3 linked regions of the Macaca mulatta genome follow. The protein of the gene in region 3 interacts with the protein of the main gene of each other region in a pairwise test. Links are inferred from orthologs where the notes say so. Each region holds a gene or a part of one and is shown on either strand. Other genes may lie near its edges. The genes, in order: TRIM32, RNF144B and UBE2U.

What was found.
Region 1: the proteins of UBE2U (region 3) and TRIM32 interact in binary tests that used the Homo sapiens proteins (3 or more experiments, as listed by UniProt). The link is inferred for Macaca mulatta from reciprocal best matches to the Homo sapiens genes UBE2U and TRIM32.
Region 2: the proteins of UBE2U (region 3) and RNF144B interact in a two-hybrid assay, tested with the Homo sapiens proteins (2 studies listed by BioGRID and IntAct). The link is inferred for Macaca mulatta from reciprocal best matches to the Homo sapiens genes UBE2U and RNF144B.

Annotation. Positions count from the first base shown.
Region 1 is NC_133420.1:41,594,570-41,598,656, reverse strand, and holds TRIM32 (E3 ubiquitin-protein ligase TRIM32), read left to right. Parts: upstream 1-1,176; 5' UTR 1,177-1,257; coding exon 1,258-3,219; 3' UTR 3,220-4,086; downstream 4,087-4,087. UniProt on the Homo sapiens protein: E3 ubiquitin ligase that plays a role in various biological processes including neural stem cell differentiation, innate immunity, inflammatory resonse and autophagy.
Region 2 is NC_133409.1:164,627,873-164,631,521, forward strand, and holds part of RNF144B (E3 ubiquitin-protein ligase RNF144B), read right to left. Parts: intron 916-3,649; coding exon 711-915; intron 1-710.
Region 3 is NC_133406.1:176,364,848-176,369,152, forward strand, and holds the end of UBE2U (ubiquitin-conjugating enzyme E2 U), read right to left. Parts: intron 912-4,305; coding exon 727-911; 3' UTR 557-726; downstream 1-556. UniProt on the Homo sapiens protein: Catalyzes the covalent attachment of ubiquitin to other proteins.

The sequences.
Region 1 (4,087 bases), on a different chromosome or scaffold from region 3:
TTGTTAAGGTTGTGCCTTTTGCCGCCTCCTTTCTTCCCTCTCCGTGTGTTTATGCTTCTTTCCAGGCCAATATAAAATGTCATCTTCCTTTTGAAAATTCTGTGTCCCTTCAAATTAGAATGACTCCTCAACCCCCATCAAACTTAGTTTTTATTTCATTTATAGTACTACTTTCTGCCTTCATTATTATTTGCCTACATGTCTTGTCTTTTATAAAGTTTGAATATCTGAAGAGCAGGATCTGTATCCTGAAGACCTCTTGTATCTAGTACAGAACAAGATACCTAAACTTAGATGGGTGGATAGATGAGTAGGTAGGAGGATAGATGCATGGAAAATGTGTATTTTCTGATCTAATGTTTTGCAGATTACCTAAAGCTAATCATCACAATTTTCTAAGTCTGTGGATGATTCCTAGGGCCCCAAACATGACACAGTAAACTCTATGACATGATGAAAAAAAAAAAAACAGCCTCCACACTTTTGCTTACATGGTTTTCTTTGCTTAAAGTACCTTTATCCCTCAGTCCTTCATTTCTTTATCTTAGGAGTGAAACTGCTTTTGGGAAGCCTTCCCCAAGTCTGTTAGGTGGAATCTATCATTCCATCCACTGTACTCCAGCAGAACATTATGTGGACCTGCATGTCACACTTACTCCTTTTACTGTGCGTAATTCTCCTGTGCTTTTCTGTTAGTGTAAACTGTAAGTTGTAAAACTCACCAAATATGAAAGTAATCATTAGCATTTATTAAAGTATACTACTTCCCTGGTGCTATATACTAAGCACATCATATTTATCTTGTTATTTAGCCCTTACAATAACCATTATTCTACAATAATAGATTGTTCTACAATAATAGAATAAGGTAGACACCATTTTTCTATTTTACAGATGAGTGATGGGGAAAGAGCTTTTGGAAGTTTGAGTTACTTCCTTATGGTCATGCAACTAAGTAAGTGTCTGAGATTCCAGAATCTGAATTATTACCCTCTATGCAGTGTTTTGTCTTGTTTGTTTCCCTGTCACCCTCACATGACACATAATAGACCTCAATAAAATAGTTAAGTAAGTGAATGACTGAACGACTGATCATAGCTATTCTCTAAATGTTTCTTGAGTGAATTGATTTATATAATCAGAGGAAAATGAATAATGGTTTCTTTTTCTCTTTAGCAGGAATTTTACCCTCTAGGGCATGAATACTGTGCTGTTCAGTTCTGAGCTGTGCTAGCAGTACCCTTCAAAGGAATAGCAATGGCTGCAGCAGCAGCTTCTCACCTGAACCTGGATGCCCTCCGGGAAGTGCTAGAATGCCCCATCTGCATGGAGTCCTTCACAGAAGAGCAGCTGCGTCCCAAGCTCCTGCACTGTGGCCATACCATCTGCCGCCAGTGCCTGGAGAAGCTATTGGCCAGTAGCATCAATGGTGTCCGCTGTCCCTTTTGCAGCAAGATTACCCGCATAACCAGCTTGACCCAGCTGACAGACAATCTGACAGTGCTAAAGATCATTGATACAGCTGGGCTCAGCGAGGCTGTGGGGCTGCTCATGTGTCGGTCCTGTGGGCGGCGTCTGCCCCGGCAGTTCTGCCGGAGCTGTGGTTTGGTGTTATGTGAGCCCTGCCGGGAGGCAGACCATCAGCCTCCTGGCCACTGTACACTCCCTGTCAAAGAAGCCGCTGAGGAGCGGCGTCGGGACTTTGGAGAGAAGTTGACTCGTCTGCGGGAACTTATGGGGGAGCTGCAGCGGCGGAAGGTAGCCTTGGAAGGTGTCTCCAAGGACCTTCAGGCAAGGTATAAAGCAGTTCTCCAGGAGTATGGACACGAGGAACGCAGGGTCCAGGATGAGCTGGCTCGCTCTCGGAAATTCTTCACAGGCTCTTTGGCTGAAGTTGAGAAGTCCAATAGTCAAGTGGTAGAGGAGCAGAGTTACCTTCTTAACATTGCAGAGGTGCAGGCTGTGTCTCGCTGTGACTACTTCCTGGCCAAGATCAAGCAAGCAGATGTAGCACTCCTGGAGGAGACAGCTGATGAGGAGGAGCCAGAGCTTACTGCCAGCTTACCTCGGGAGCTCACCCTGCAAGATGTGGAGCTCCTTAAGGTAGGTCATGTTGGCCCCCTCCAAATTGGGCAAGCTGTTAAGAAGCCCCGGACAGTTAACATGGAAGATTCCTGGGCCATGGAGGCGGCAGCCTCTGCTGCTTCTACCTCTGTTACATTTAGAGAGATGGACATGAGCCCGGAGGAAGTGGTTGCCAGCCCTAGGGCCTCACCTGCTAAACAGCGGGGTCCTGAGGCAGCCTCCAATATCCAGCAGTGCCTCTTTCTCAAGAAGATGGGGGCCAAAGGCAGCACTCCAGGAATGTTCAATCTACCAGTCAGTCTCTACGTGACCAGTCAAGGTGAAGTGCTAGTTGCTGACCGTGGTAACTATCGTATACAAGTCTTTACCCGCAAAGGCTTTTTGAAGGAAATCCGCCGCAGCCCCAGTGGCATTGATAGCTTTGTGCTAAGCTTTCTTGGGGCGGATCTACCCAACCTCACTCCTCTCTCAGTGGCAATGAACTGCCAGGGGCTGATTGGTGTGACTGACAGCTATGATAACTCCCTCAAGGTATATACCTTGGATGGCCACTGTGTGGCCTGTCACAGGAGCCAGCTGAGCAAACCATGGGGTATCACAGCCCTGCCATCTGGCCAGTTTGTAGTAACTGATGTGGAAGGTGGAAAGCTTTGGTGTTTCACAGTTGATCGAGGATCAGGGGTGGTCAAATACAGCTGCCTGTGCAGTGCTGTGCGGCCCAAATTTGTCACCTGTGATGCTGAGGGCACCGTCTACTTCACCCAGGGCTTAGGCCTCAATCTGGAGAATCGACAGAATGAGCACCACCTGGAAGGTGGCTTTTCCATTGGTTCTGTAGGTCCCGATGGGCAGCTGGGTCGCCAGATTAGCCACTTCTTCTCGGAGAATGAGGATTTCCGCTGCATTGCTGGCATGTGTGTGGATGCTCGTGGTGATCTCATTGTGGCTGACAGTAGTCGCAAGGAAATTCTCCATTTTCCTAAGGGTGGGGGCTATAGTGTCCTTATTCGAGAGGGACTTACTTGTCCGGTGGGCATAGCCCTCACTCCTAAGGGGCAGCTGCTGGTCTTGGACTGTTGGGATCATTGCATCAAGATCTACAGCTACCATCTGAGAAGATACTCCACCCCATAGGGGATGAGAAATATCATTTTCTTCTGCTCCCAAGCCAGCTTCCCTTCCCATAGTTCTTGGTTGTTAGTGGCACATAGAGAATAGACTCGGCATATGTCCTGATTCCAGCTGGGTAGTTCTAGAACTTTAGAAGCTCCATCTTTTTATGTTTTTTATTTGTTATTTTCCCCTCCCCACTTCCCACCTAAATTTAGAGCTTTAAAAGATGCACTGCCCAAATAGGACACGCAATGGTGTTAGCTGAAGTTTGATTAGCAATTAGGCACTTCCAAGGCTTTAGTAGAGAGAGCCACTTTAGCCCTTTGTGCCATGTTTGAAATGTGCCCTTGTATTAAATCCTTGATTTTTTCCCGTTTGGCTCTGATGCCCTTGATCCATTGTTTCCTTCCTATTACAATGTGCTTCATCTGTGACACTTTCTCTTCAACTCTGATTGGATTCACTGTGCATGCTTCAGTGGGATATGCTCCACCTTTCAGTGACATTTCAGACATATTCCTGTAACATTATGTCTCAGTCTGATCGTCTTTACCAGTGTGAAAGCTCATTCATTTAGTGCTACCAAAGGGGATACACAGGCCCTTTAGGAAGCAGTACCTCTCGCCTGGAGGATCTGTGCCATCTTGGATTGAGAACTGCAGATGTGACAGAATGGATTGACCCTAGTTGGTTGGTATTGACGACTTCAGCCTGGAAATTGCTTGCCTTTTAAAGAAGCATAATATGGATTGGAATTATGCCAAAGCATAGGAAGCTAGGAATAAGCAAACAAATGCTGATATAGTCAGCAAACTTGGATAGTCTCTAGGGCTCATCGTTTTTCATACTACCTCTCTCTTCTGGCCTGTGTCTAAGGAATTGTACAGCA
Region 2 (3,649 bases), on a different chromosome or scaffold from region 3:
CTAATCGGGAGGATGAGGCAGGAGAATCGCTTGGACTCAGGAGGCGGTGGTTGCAGTGAGCCAAGATCATGCCACTGCCCTCCAGCCTAGGCAACAGAGCAAGACTCTGTCTCAAAAACAAAACAAAACAAAACAAAAACCCCACTGTACTAAAAAGGTACAGATTTAATTGCTTCCTATCACAACAAAATCTCAACCTTTACAGAGCATAAAGTATCACGAGAGAACCCTCCTTTCTATGTGCTGAAATAATTTAGGACCATTGTTTCTATTCCTGCATTCTTTCTAATATGACTGTCACACATCATGAGCTGGCAATTTAGTCAGCTAAGAAAATTTCTGTCTCATTTTGCAAGCAACAAGAATAATATATCCCAATACAGGCAGATACGGCATCTGAGCAAATGGCTGGGACAAGTCACAATTTCCTACTGAGAACCAGTAGACCACAGTGCCTTGCTACCTAAAGAGAAAGCAAAACTCATACAAACTTTAATTCCAGCAATATCTGGAAGATTCCTCTGGGGCGAACAACTAGAAATGCTTTTGTATTGGCAACTTACCAATTCTGAGACACTTCTACGGGAAGTTCTGCAAGAAAACAACCAATCTCTAAACGCCATCACAACGTAATTCCTTCTACATGTAACGTATGTTGAGTTTCTAAGAAAACTAGTGAATAATCCCAAAGACAAAGTTTCCTTTCTTACCTGTGCTCTGTTGGCAGGACAACAGGCTGATTGTCTCTACAGGAGACCTCTGCATGCCAAGCATCCTTGCAACACGAGCAGAATTTCAGGTGGCAAGAAGGGCATTCCACCAGCACAGGCTGTCCTGGGTCACTCGATGCAACAGGGCACACTGTCTGACAGTCTGCAACAGGACACCATGTTCGGTAGGGGTCCAGATGAACTTCTAAAGTGTAAAGAAAGAAAATGTGATGGTCTGCCCGATTCACGTTTGAGTCTTTCTCACCTTCATTTGCCCTTTTATTTATATAATGTATTTGGAACCACAGTCTCACTGTGTTGCCCAGGCTGGAGTGCAGTGGCACGATTTCAGCTCACTGCAACCTCCCCCGCCCGGGTTCAACCGATTCTCCTGCCTCAGCCTCCCAAATAGCTGGGACTACAGGTGCACACCACCATGCTTGGCTAATTTTTGTATTTTTAGTAAAGACGGGTTTCATCATGTTGGCCAGGCTGATCTCGAATTCCTGACCTCAAGTGATATGCCTACCTTGGCCTCCCAAAGTGCTGAGATTACAGGCATGAGCCACCGCACTTGCCCCATTTACTCTCTTTTTTAAACTGACGTTTATAGAAGTATAAGACTCTTAGTCTTCATAATGGATCCAAACCTATCATTTACAAGGTCGCTAAGCCCTGCCACATTTCTCCAAGTAGGTACTAATGGAATAGTTCACCATTGCCTTTATGAACAGATAAAAAGTGTTCTCTATAAACAAAATTCACAAAACTTTTAGAATATTTCCCACTTTTGAGCATGTAAAATAGGCAAAAATCCCAAATCCCTTCTACAATTATTTGGGCACTATCCTGGAAGAGAATTGAACATAAAAAGCAAATTTTTAATAAGGCATTTTTCCAAAAAGACTTTGTCCTTTCAGGCACTGAGAAACAGGTAGTGAGATTTCTTCCACATTCCCAGGAAATTAAAGAACAAGGAAGAAAATAATCAAATAGTTGAGGGACCAAACAGTATTTCGTGTGGCTTAGCCAAGAAGTCGGATTACCTGTCAGTTTGGATATTCTGCTTCCCCACCAATACGCAAGTTAGGAACAATGTGTAAAAGACCCACGTGTTCTAGAAACAAAAGGTAGAGACTTTCACAGACCATTATAATAGCCAGTCATAACACATAGGCTAGTTCCATATGACATGCAGGAAAGAAGGTAGAGCTGGAGAATAGACAGCCATTTATTCAAGGATTTGAAAGTCTTGCTTGGTATCTCTTTTTTACTCAGTAGCAGACCCCACGTTCTTTCCATATACTGTGACCTTTAAGGGAACATACCATGTAAAAAAATGTTATTTGAGGGGTAGAGTACCCCTTTTTTCTCTGGACTCATGTATTTTGCAAATTTTGAACTGACGAGATTCTAGTTTTAAACCTCCTAGGGCTCATGATTTCATGATTCCTAGAAATGTACACACATGAGGCAAACAAATCCAAAGGATGGTGCAAAAAGAAAATAAAGGTATTAAGTAGGAATTTAGTTTCGAAAGTCAATAATTTTACACATTCAATATCAGGGAGAAAGTCTGAAATGTTCTGGTAAACTACTGTCTCCACTGATGTCTTGCCTAGAAATGAAATAATTGGATCTATCTTTTATTATTATTATTATTATACTTTAAGTTCTAGGGTACATGTGCATAACGTGCAGGTTTGTTACATATGTATACTTGTGCCATGTTGGTGTGCTGCACCCATCAACTCGTCATTTACATCAGGTATAACTCCCAATGCAATCCCTCCCCCCTCCCCCCTCCCCATGATAGGCCCCGGTGTGTGATGTTCCCCTTCCCGAGTCCAAGTGATCTCATTGTTCAGTTCCCACCTATGAGTGAGAACATGCGGTGTTTGGTTTTCTGTTCTTGTGATAGTTTGCTAAGAATGATGGTTTCCAGCTGCATCCATGTCCCTACAAAGGACACAAACTCATCCTTTTTTATGGCTGCATAGTATTCCATGGTGTATATGTGCCACATTTTCTTAATCCAGTCTGTCACTGATGGACATTTGGGTTGTTATAAGTTTTCCTTCAAAAATTGTATCCTTAAACATATGGTCTTATCTAGGAATTCTGGAGGGTGGGGGTCAAAGAACAATGAGCCTTTCACACAAATGCAATCACAAGGAGGAAAATCCTGTAATTCACAGATGCTCAGACCCCAACAGAGATGGACCCTCCAAGATCCCTAAAACCTTAAGAAGTCAAGGAAACAGTGGCACACATAGGATCTAAGGTCTTGGTCTTTTATTTCTACACCATTTAATATTTTCTTCCAAACTATGACAACCGCTTCACAAATACTAAGCCCAAAGAAATGAAGGTTAGTATGTAACTGAGAGTGAGACTCCCATATCAAATATCTACTTAGCATCCCTTCTAAATCAGAGGTCTTTTAAAAGTTTGATGAAAAAGAAGGAAAACGGAAAGGAAAGTTAAAACACATATTACTGTTAAAATGTATAGCATCCCTAGTGATCACCTTAAAAAGATACAAGGATGCAACTTGTTCTCGTAGCTCTAATCAATTAAAACTACTTGGTACAAGTTCTGACTTGTTTCTATCAGCTTATTATTTCAGGTATCTGGGGTGACAAAATGGAAGCACAGACAATAAATAAAGGAGCAATGATAGGTTTTGATGAATTACTAAAAAGAAAGTAAGCAGTGCAGCTATGGTGCAGTGCAGCTATGGCACAGTCCAATGAAAGCAAGGAAAGAGTTTGGCCAACAGAAAACAGTGACCTTCTGTATTTTTCACTATTATGACAGCACATAAAGGACCATGCAAAGGAGTGTAGAAAAAGAAAAATGGGGAAAACATTACAGTTTTCTACACAATTCCTTCATTAGAAGTCCTTATTCCTTAGGAATGGGTTACAGAGCTTAAC
Region 3 (4,305 bases):
CAAGCATACGTATAGGTTGAGACAACATGGCAAAAAGAGACAGAGAAAATAAAGTTATAAGAATACAAGGAGATAGAAGGTCTAGTTTATATAAAACTAGAAATTGCACACTAATCTGCAGTGACAGAAAGCAGATCAGTGATACTGACTGATCTTATGAAAAGTAAGGGCAGGAAATAGGAGCAGGAGAGACGTATTACCATGAAGCAGGGGAAACTTTTGGGGTGACAGATATGTTCCCATGTACTCTGGGATAAAACAGAAGAGAAACATTAGTAAATAGTGACATCTCATTCCTTGAATATGGAGGAAACAAGACAAGAAAGCAGGCAGATGTAGGTCCATGTATAGATCCTGCTATTTGAGGTCATGTCCAGCCTCTGAAGCTCTTAATTGCTCCCCTCCTATCCCAGCCTCTTTCTGACCCATTCTCTGCCTGCAAAAACTTGTGTCCAGTAGCCTAAAAACTGTGGGAGTGTCACACCATTGATTGGCATATGGCAATGAACATCCCTAACTTCGGTAACTTAGTTCTAAAGAAAGTCAAAGCAACATCTTTACTGATTTGTACTTATATTTCTAATTTGTACTTGCTTGTACTTGCAGTGAGCGGGTGAGAACAGCCTGAAAAAAATGAAATCCAAGTTCTGAGAGTCTTCCAAAATTGCTCCACAACACTGGGCTATGGTGGAGGCTGTTCAGTTTTTTAACCTGATAATGTTCTGCTTAATCTTCTAAAGTATTTGTATTGAGAGTGTTGATCCAGGAGATTAGATCTTCCACTTCCTCTTCCCAGGGCTCATCTGTGTTATTTTCATATAATGAAGTGTCACTCTTCCACCCCTCCTCTTCTGTTTCGTAAATGTTTGTGATGCTATTTATTGCAGTTGGTGACTCAAGAAAAATTTCATCTGTGGTGGGAACTATAAAAAACAGAAATTTAATAGACATACAGGAAAAACAATGAAAAGAGTGTTCCTGCATTTGTAGGATAATGCCAAAGACCATCTGAATGAATGCGAGCAACCTTTTTTACACTTTCTAAACTTCATGTTTTATAAGTAACTTTATTTGTCATAAATCATTCTTCCATCTTGCTCAATCTTTTGATGCTTTGTTAGTTCATTCATTTAACATATATATTTACTGGGTCCCTGCTAACGGCCGGTTGATGTGCAAGGGAAAAGCTGCTTTGGGAGCACAGGGAGGGAATCACTATGTCTAAGTGAAAACAGACTCGGGCTTTGAAACAGGAGGAGCAGTTTGTTAGACAGAGAAGGGAGGTCAGAACATGTTAGAAGAAACAGCATGCATCATATAAGCACAAAGGTATGAGAGGACTTGACAGGGTTAGGTGTGATCAGAGTGGATTCTCCCGCACTTCCACTGTGCCAGGTGCGGTGCTCAGCAGTCGACAGCTATAATATTATTTAACTCAGACACAACCCTTGTGATGGGCAGGTATTAGTATTCTTATTTTACAGATGAGGAAACTAAGGCTGAATGACCTATAGTAACTTAACCAAAGATATCCAGCTAATAACAAGACTCGTCCCAGATCTGTCTATCCAAAACCACAATGTTATAGTATACAGAAAGTTTCGTGGAGCTGGAAGGGAGGCTGAAGCCAGATCAGGAAAGCCTCACATGTCATGCAAAGGACTTTCATCTTTATCTTACAGGCCTTGCAAACAGGGAAATAAACTGATTATACTTTTCAAAAGAAGAATATAGATATAATGTCTATATTTCTAGATCTATATTTCCACACAGCATGGGGACCTCGCTTTCTGGGGATGAACTCTAGCTGGTGCTATTTATGTTCTGTTAACTCTAAAACCTCACTGCATTCTCTCCCCTTTTTCCTAGCTGTCACCAGATTCACTGCCGATTATGGATTCCAGGACAAATTTTGTTTGCCTTATATGTTTATTTCCCTCACTTACATATGAAATAAACCCTATAATACTTGTTGTCTTCTAATGTTATAGACATAGGCTACAAGTGACTTGTTTTCCTTCTCTCTTTGGTTTATAGAAAGATACACAGAGAGGCCAGGCATGGTGGCTTCCACCTGTAATCCCAGCATTTTGGGAAGCCAAGGCAGGTGGATCACTTGAGGTCAGGGGTTCGAGACCAGCCTGGCCAACATGGTGAAACCCTGTCTCTACTAAAATACGAAAATTAGCCGGGTGTGGTGGCAGGAGCCTGTAATCTCAGCTGTTCTGGAGGCTGAGGCAGGAGAATCGTTTGAACTCAGAAGGCAGAGGTTGCAGTGAGCTGAGATTGACCCACTGCACTCCAGCCTGGGTGACAGAGTGAGACTCCATCTCAAAACAAAACAAAGAGAGAAAGATACATAGAGAGATTTGAGTTTACACAGTCACCATTATCCTATGGGTATCCTGAGGCCCCCAGTGATTTTTAATTTTCATACTTTCGATGCTAATATTTAGTTGTAACTAATTTAAAACTAAATTCTGTCTGTGCCTTGAGAAAAGCATCTCCTTTATTTTCCATGAACATATTATTGATGGACTAACTCCAGTTCTTTCTAACCATGTTTGGGCCTTTCTGATTCCACATGCTTTTGATTACAAGAAATATAGAGCCAAGTCAACCCAGTTTAAACAATAGGAGAATGTTTTATCTCACATAAGATAAAAGCCAGAGTGGAGGGCAGGATTGAATATTGCGGTGACTCCACAATGTCACGAAGGACACAATTCTTTTCACTGCTTGCTTTGCTAACTGAGGTGTTGTCTTCATCTTCACAGTGCACAGCAAGAGAGCTACAGCCATTCTAGTAACCACACCGGGCACAGCAACATCCAGAGGAAAAAGCGGACTTCTCACCAAGAGCTCATTTTTAAGAGTGGATGGGAAAACCATCCCCTGAAGCACCCAGCATATTTCCCCTCAAGCAGGATCCTGTCACATGCCCTTTCTTTTATTTTAATTTAATTTTATTCTTTTTGAGGCAGGGTTTCACTCCTGTTGCCCAGGCTGGAGTGCAGTGGCGGGCTCTTAGCTCACTGCAACCTCCGCCTCCTGGGATCAAGTGATTCTCCCACCTCAGCCTCCCAAGTAACTGGGACTACAGGAGTTCACCACTACACCCAGCTATTTTTTAAACATTAATTAATTAATTATTATTATTATTTTTAGTAGGGATGGGGTTTTATCATGTTGGCTAGGCTGGTCTCTAACTCCTGATCTCAGGTGATCTGCCCACCTTGGCCTCCCAAAGTGTTGGGATTACAGGTGTGAGCTACTGCACCCCACCCCATCTCTAAACTAGTTACTGGTAAGGGAAATGAGATCACCATGATTGGCTGACATGAGTTGCTGGCGTGGAATGAAAGTTGGGAATCAACCACCTTGACTATTTGCCCTCTTAGTTCCTGCCCTGTTAAAATCTCCCAGGAAGCATAAAAAGAAACCTGGCTAGATCAGCAGAGTATAATGCGAAATAAATATAGAAATGTTTCTTTAGAACATAAAAAAAAGATTATTTTGAATTTCTTCTCCAGGAAATCTTAAGCTTTATAAATCCCTCTGAGACACCTTGGATTTGGTGGTTGGAATCAGTAATAAAGGAGGGGATTTTGTTACTATGTTAACAAAATAAGTTATGGAAGCACAAATTCTAACTGCCTTATATTTTCCATGCCTTTCTTGGGTTGGATCACGGAAACTCTGCCTCTGATAATTTATTTTTTAATCTGAAAATAGGTTAGCTAGTAAAGATAGTAAAACCTGTGCTGACTGATGGGCTCTGATGATTAACAAATGGTTTATCTCTATTCAGTCCTGTTTTCAGTCTGGATTCAGTTAGGAAAACAGAGCCACTACAAGTAACACAAGAGTGAGAATCTAACACAGGAATTTGGGATTATCCAGGTGTGGGAGGACCCAGGGGAGTGAAGATCTGGAAGCTACAGCTGGAGAATTGAAAAAACAGTCATGATCCTGATGCACTGACATGAGTGGGAAACCAGAAGCTCATGGAGTACAAGAAGCTGCACACATTTAGCCACCCAAATTGCGACAAAAACGAGGAGTTCATGGGGATGTCTGTGCAGCCACCGTGTCTGTGAAGTGAGGCTGTGGAGAGACGTGTGAAAATGCCGTATCTGAGGAACCCACCATGCCTGATATGAACAACTTCCCAAGCATAATGGCCTTGACTTCCCTCCCACCTGCCAAATCTCTGGTGAGTTTCTCCCATTGGCAAACTATGACATGCCATCCTTTTTTGCAAAAGAGGGGCACACGGTTCTTTCCTTTTCTGAGTCACACTTC